Linked DNA regions of Saccharomyces cerevisiae S288C. Changing the gene in region 2 together with the main gene of any one other region gives a genetic interaction. Each region holds a gene or a part of one and is shown on either strand. Other genes may lie near its edges.

Region 1 (3,303 bases), on a different chromosome or scaffold from region 2:
TTGTCAAAAAATCCAAAAGAGTCCCTGAGCATTTCAAAATTTTCGTAAGAAGAGAGGGGCAAGATGATATCAAAAGGTACTACTTTGAAGCAGTTTCAGGTCAAGAGTGTACTGAGATCGTGACGCGATTACAAAACTTATTAAGCGCTTATAGAATGAATCATAAATAAGTAAAACCCATTATACTGCATCTTACCAGCATTAATTTTGGTTTATATCTAAATATGGTATAGAAAATACTTCATCGCGATCTCGATGGTGATTGGTCAGAGTCCGCTTCTCGATGCAAAGGGAAAAAAAAGAGCTTTTTAGGAGCAAGTCCCCCCATAGAGCACATAACTCGTTAGCATTGAATAAGGCCAGGTGACTTCAAATAATAATTTATAACTACGACAATGGGTGCTGCTTATCATTTCATGGGGAAAGCTATCCCTCCACACCAACTAGCCATTGGGACATTAGGACTGCTAGGTTTATTGGTTGTTCCAAATCCTTTTAAAAGCGCAAAGCCAAAAACAGTCGACATCAAAACAGACAACAAAGACGAGGAAAAATTCATTGAAAACTACTTAAAGAAACATTCGGAAAAGCAAGATGCGTAAATATAGCTTGATTGCTGCGCGGTTGAAGATCTTTTGTACATACAATAAATATTCTTTATATATACAGCTTTCGATATTCAAGATTTAAACATTAAATTATTAAAAAGAGGTCTATAACTAGACAGTTGCTACATCCACTCTTTTCTTGTTATATCTTTTTAATATACAATGTTATGTAAAACTCTCTGATAGTATTATGCTTATTATTTAAACAAGGCATCGTTTGATAAAGGATCGGCGGCAAGAACATTCTCTCTTCTCTTAATTTTTCTTTCCACAGCAGCTTCAGCTCTAGACTTTGCCTCCTCAGCAGCTTGTTGTTTAATTTGAGCTCTTACGACGTTTGGCGAAACATATTGTTTATTTTCATAGATCTTTGGACCACCAAATGAACCTTCTAGGATCAAAATGACAGTCATAACAAACCTAGGGCCAATTTCCACTAATGATATGTCTTCTTCGCCATCTTCATATTCTTCTTTGTTCTTAGTACTGTGTGAGATCTCATATGTCCTCACCCATATTTTATCATCTACAATACTGAAGGACATGACGTGATCAATAAATGGCTTAGATTTTCTAGCATTTGGTGGTACACCAAAATTATGCACTAGCAACTCCTTAATTAATTGGTAGTGTGGGGAGGATTCGAAACGTTGATCAAACGACAATACCGGACGAGAACCCTTTAAACAGTTACCTGTAAAATTCAACTCATCCATAGTATGCAAGTTTTGAATGTAAAATTTTATAGTTGGCCCATTTGGCGGCTTGGATAACCATAGATACAAATCTTGGTGTTTTCTGGCCTCAAAGAATAGAACATTATTACAATTGTACAACTCAGCGATTTCGTTCAACTGTTGAAGATCCTTTTTAGTATCCAATTTTGGCTCCTTTCTGGAATGAGGCAATAATCCGCTTAAGTCTTGAATTAAATGACGATGTCTATAGTTAACACCTCTACTCGAAATCAGAAGAGTTCTTTGCTTGTTCATAAATTGCTTGACATTGCCTTGCTTCTTTTCAGATTTATTATCTTTGCTCTTTCCTGCGAGGGCTTTGTAGATAGAAGACATCTTTGGTTGAACTCTTTCAACACCTGACGAATGTATAAAGAAAGACGTGAAGCAAAATAAGGCTAAGTAACCTTCTAACTCGTAAATATTATAGCAATTTCTGTATCTTTTTAGGTGATAGATTCTTTGAGAACCATCGCGATGAGCATCTAAAATTTTTCAGTCACCTTTAACGAAAATCACTGTCCACGGACCGCCGAGGGCTTTAGGAAAATAAATAATAAATGTCAGCTGCAACAGAATTCATTGGCGAAGCAACGATACATAACGAGCTCGGTACAGCAATCATCGCATCGAAGCATGTCCGACAAGATACAGGAGGAGATATTAGGACTAGTAAGCAGGTCCAACTTCAAACAATGCTATGCAAAACTGGGGCAATTGCAAAAACAATTTCCCAATGCGTTGTACTTCAAGATTTTGGAAACCTATGTTAAATTCAAGCAGTCACCTGGTAAGTTCGATTACAATAAACTGCTAGAAGAACCATATGGGCTGAAAGGGACAACGATTACGGGCGACACGCGTTCCTTGGAGTTTTTGCACAACTTCTTCGTAGAGTTAGGGAAATACGACGAAGCATTGCACGTGTATGAAAGAGGAAATTTCAAATTCCCTAGCTACGAATTGTCTTATCACTGGTTTATGAAAGCATTGGAAGATTCCAATTATAACCAAATGAGCAAAGCATCTCTACAGCTAGCTAAATACAGTGACAGTGGAAACCTGCCTAAAAGAGCATATTATTTTTGGAATGCAATCTCGATTTTAGCCGTATCAAGGTTTCAGGAAAACACTCTTTCAGATCCCAAGAAAATTTTGCTCTCCAGGCTAGCGCGCCAGTCTTTGTTAGACTTGAAACCATTTCAAAATGTTCAAGAGATTATAGTTTATTGTTTGGTGTTGGATGAACTATTCCCTCAATCTAGAGAAATCTCGGAAGAGATTGTTGCGATTACCTTTGCCAATTTTGATACTTCAGTAAACTTGTATTTGAAAAACTTTATCTTGAAGCATACCAAGTTATTGAATTCTCCACAAAAACTTTTTGAAGTTTGTTCAAAACTTATTGAAAAGGGCCTTGATGATTATGAATTGATCACAAACTTGATTGATGCTGCCTACAAACTTTCTAAATCTAAAGACGAAGTCAAACAATGGATTGATGAAAATTTGGGAGACTCAAGGAATACTCGATTGGCGCGCTTGAAACTTGATATAATGTACACCGATTCGGTTTCGGAATCATCTTTGTCGTACTATTTATCAAAGTACCATAACAAACCTTGTTGTTCAATCGATTTGAATCATTACAGCGGCCACATTAACATAGATATGCTTAAGAGCATTATGTCTAAGTACGATCCAGAGGATAAGGATTTGATTCATCATTGTAATATTCTAGAATTGGGACTTATTGGAAGCGACTCAATCAATAACTATAACAAGTTTAAGGGGACCCTGGAAAAAAAATCGGTAACGGATTATTCCTCCTGTTCTACATTCTTATTAGAAATAGTCAAGGACAAGTGCAAGAAAACTAATCCTGAATTGAAAGACGTGCTTTTGTGTATAACGATATTGGAAAATTACCAAGCCAAGGACCCTCATAACTTCGATAC
Region 2 (4,448 bases):
AACCTTCTGATATGTCGTTAGCATTTTCAAGGGCTTCAGCAGCACCTTTGAATGGCGCGAAAGATACAAGTTCGATTAACTTTGTAAAAGCACCAAAATCATTGATTTGCTCTTGAACTTCTTTTAATCTTGAACCAATGTCATCTTGTTGCAACTTAACCTTGAAAACTGCGTAACCAGTAGGTTCTTCAAACAGTAGGTATTCAATAGGAGCCATCTTTCACTAAATACTGTTCTGCACGCTTCTTCTCCTAGAAATATACCTTCCAAAACACTTTTAATAACTACTTAAAAAACTGTAGACACTACGCAATTGCACAAAATTTTTCATTTCCCATCTCATCACTCAAAAAAATTTCACTTTGAAAAAAAAAAAAAAAGAAAATTTTCACATCGCATTCTACGAGCGTATATATGCCGGGTGATATAAAAAAGTTACACAACTGTAATTCACCACATTGTCATCATATGCTAAATTATACCGTAACAGCACATATTAATGTATTATATTGTTTTTTTCTGAGGCTCCTCTTACACTAGTATACAGTATTATCTTCTATAGATTTTTTATTTGTACTTGCAATGTACTCTGCTTTAATATTTTTCATATCCAGATTATGCCATGTCATCATGCTCATCTCCACCTTCTCTTTCTTCTTCATCTTCACCTTGATCATCAATGGTTATAACAGTATCTGGGTTATCGTTACTGGTGTATTTTCTGGCGATTCTTGAACTTTTTCCTATTTTTTGGGCTTCTTCTTTTGCTCTTGCTTGAACATTCTCTAGTTCACTTTTAAAGCTCTTACGTACAGATCTATTGGTAAAAACGTCCCATAGTTTCAAAACTTTATTGACACCACCAATGACCATGGTACCCGCTACCTCGATGTCTGGAGCGAATGACGATGTCAATACATTTCCGACATCGAAATCACGAGACAGAACCATGCTTGGGCCCTTAGTGTTCGTAGCATCATCCAAGGGGAATTTCCATAATTTGACAGTCTTTTCACCCATGGCCCCTGTACTCATCATACCAGGGATGAATTTGTTTGAACATAATGTGGAGATACCAGCATCGTGTGCCTTCAATGTCCAAACTGGTTTACGGTTTTCATTGTTTCTAATATCGAAAGAATACACATTACCAGAATCAGTACCACATAATATTATATTTTCACTGGCAAATGTAACAGTTTCTATTTCCTCACCTGCCATGGCAGACCAGTATTTACTCATTTGACTTTCGTCAGAAATTCTAACATCTGTTAAAGCTACTCGAGAATCATAACCACCGGTCAAAAGAATGGAACCATTCAACATGTGCCATTCAGATGATGAAACATTTTTGTTTGAATGAATGGAAGCTAAGGAGCGGGCTGCGTTACCTGAGTTCAAATCCCATAGTTTTACGGTATGATCTGCAGAGGTGGATGCTAAAACGGAACGGAAATATTTGTTGTGTGCCATGGATAAAACAGCATCGGTATGATGAGTAGTAATGTGTCCAGTCTTAGACTTCTTCTTCTTCTTTTTGCTTTTCAAAGACACCATTGAATTATCAAGAGGTTCACCCAGAATCATATCGGGAAAGGCCTTGTCAACACAGTCCAAGTTCCAAATTTCAATTTGTGGATCAAACGTACCAATGGCAGCATAATTGGCTGCTTCTTCGGAATTGGATCCAACCTTGTAGTCAAGCCACTCAACACATAGTGGAAAAGCAGGCAACATTAAATCATGGTGAACGTAAAGTGCAGGGTCACGAACCAATCCACGAGCAACATCTGGGTCAGCTTCATCACCTTCTTCAACGGGAATATCGCTACTGTGGAACCCAGCACCGTCATCGTAAACGTAGATATCCAAATACGAAACGTCATCTTCTGTTCTCGCAGCAAGAACTAAATTATCGGATGGGTAAACTTGTAACTCCTGCTTCTCCTCTTGACTATCCTCTTGATTAGGCAATGAAATATATGGATCTTCACCTTTTTCACCCTCATGGAATTTAACATCGCTATCATTACTTAAACCCGGGAACATGGAAACGTCTTTACCACCCTCATTATCTGCAATTTCCTCATCGTCATATTCTTCCAGGTTATATTCTTTCAAATCATCATCTATATCCAACTGATCCTTCAACTTATTAGAACTACCTGTTGCGGCGTCATCTTCAACACCTGATTCGCCTTCTGCTTCTTCCAAAGTAGCTTTAGCATCATCCAAATTCAACTGTGCTAATTGGTTAATTCTTTCCACTTCCTCATCATCCAGAACATACTTTTCAGGAAATTCCGAGGAAAACCCTCTTGGAACCCAATTAGTAGCAGAAATCATTAGTTATTTTGTTTTTTTTATTCGTCTTCTAAGTTTCCAAATAAGGAAGGCGTAATAGACTCAACTGAGGGTACACTTGCTATCGTTTACAAATTAAAACTCTTTGCTTCTTTCAAACTCATCTCAGCTCATCGAGACAAATTTTTCACTTCTTTTTTTCGAGGGCGAGAAAATTTATTACCCGACTGGATATAATATATATAGAATAATACATATGATCAACTCAAGGTAGGGCCTATGGAAAAGTTTTACAACGGACAAGGCAATTAAATTGAATTGCACGATTCTCTAATTTTTTATTCTTGCAGATTTGTTTCATGATAAATTCGCCAGTTAGAGTTCTTATTATGGGTGGGTAAGAATTCAGTTAACGTTTAAAATTCTCAATATTAATCGCAAAGTGGAAAGCAAAGCAAAGTCTCACTAGAAATTGCAGGCGGACTATGTATAATTACGTAATAGTAGTTCTTGCAACAGAGGATCCTTTCGACTCTTTTGAAAGGATACTGTCATAAAACAATAGGATAAAATAATTTCAGCCGTTGCTCATGATAAAAGTAATTCACTATAATTGAAGATGATATGTGTTGCACGCTTTTTAGAGAATGATCTGTACAATAGCTCTGGTTGTCATAGAGCTTCGGTAGTAAACGTATTTATAGAATGTCAGAAGAGGATAAAGCGAAAAAATTAGAGAATTTATTGAAGTTATTACAGTTGAATAATGACGATACTTCAAAATTCACTCAAGAACAGAAAAAAGCTATGAAAGACCACAAATTCTGGAGAACGCAACCGGTCAAAGATTTCGATGAAAAGGTGGTGGAAGAAGGCCCCATTGATAAGCCAAAGACACCGGAAGATATATCTGACAAGCCACTACCTTTATTGTCTAGCTTCGAATGGTGTAGTATTGATGTGGACAACAAAAAACAGCTTGAAGATGTTTTCGTTCTACTAAATGAAAACTACGTGGAAGACCGCGATGCAGGCTTCAGATTTAACTATACCAAAGAATTCTTCAATTGGGCTTTAAAGAGTCCAGGTTGGAAGAAGGATTGGCATATTGGTGTTCGCGTTAAAGAAACACAGAAATTAGTTGCCTTTATCTCAGCCATACCAGTAACACTTGGTGTTAGAGGTAAACAAGTGCCTAGTGTAGAAATCAATTTCTTGTGCGTTCACAAACAGCTAAGATCGAAGAGATTAACACCTGTTCTAATTAAAGAAATTACGAGACGAGTGAACAAATGTGACATCTGGCATGCATTGTACACGGCAGGTATTGTTTTGCCAGCACCTGTGAGTACGTGTCGTTATACTCATCGTCCCTTGAATTGGAAGAAACTTTATGAAGTAGATTTCACAGGGTTACCAGATGGGCACACAGAGGAGGATATGATTGCTGAGAATGCGTTACCGGCCAAAACAAAGACAGCGGGATTGAGAAAATTAAAGAAGGAAGATATTGACCAAGTTTTTGAGTTGTTCAAAAGATATCAATCCAGGTTCGAACTAATTCAAATTTTCACAAAAGAAGAATTCGAACATAATTTCATTGGTGAAGAATCGTTACCATTGGATAAACAAGTAATTTTCTCATATGTAGTCGAACAGCCCGATGGAAAAATTACAGACTTCTTCTCATTTTACTCATTGCCATTCACAATCCTAAATAACACAAAATATAAGGACCTAGGCATCGGGTACTTGTATTATTATGCCACCGATGCAGATTTCCAATTCAAAGACAGGTTTGATCCAAAAGCTACTAAGGCTTTGAAAACAAGATTGTGTGAATTGATTTATGACGCTTGTATTTTGGCCAAAAACGCTAATATGGATGTTTTTAACGCGTTGACTTCGCAAGATAATACATTGTTCTTGGATGATTTGAAGTTCGGGCCCGGTGACGGGTTCTTGAACTTCTATTTATTTAATTATAGAGCAAAGCCGATTACCGGTGGCTTGAATCCCGACAATAGTAACGACATTAAAAGGCGTAGCAATGTCGGTGTTGTTATGTTGTAGTGGCTGAAAGGACGAGGCGTATATAGTTTTCGTGTACATAGCCGACAGAATTTGACCACATTTAGTTTTTC

The links.
Region 1: mutations in PWP1 (region 2) and BRX1 together harm fitness more than expected from each alone (negative genetic interaction), as found in Saccharomyces cerevisiae (2 studies listed by BioGRID).

Annotation. Positions count from the first base shown.
Region 1 is NC_001147.6:185,043-188,345, forward strand, and holds BRX1 (ribosome biogenesis protein BRX1), read right to left. Parts: upstream 1,682-3,303; coding exon 806-1,681; downstream 1-805. Other genes in the region: AVO1 (Avo1p), read left to right, coding at 1-170; ATP19 (F1F0 ATP synthase subunit k), read left to right, coding at 396-602; MDM20 (Mdm20p), read left to right, coding at 1,982-3,303. UniProt on the Saccharomyces cerevisiae protein: Required for biogenesis of the 60S ribosomal subunit.
Region 2 is NC_001144.5:541,866-546,313, reverse strand, and holds PWP1 (rRNA-processing protein PWP1), read right to left. Parts: upstream 2,347-4,448; coding exon 616-2,346; downstream 1-615. Other genes in the region: snoRNP complex protein NOP56, read right to left, coding at 1-217; glycylpeptide N-tetradecanoyltransferase NMT1, read left to right, coding at 3,010-4,377.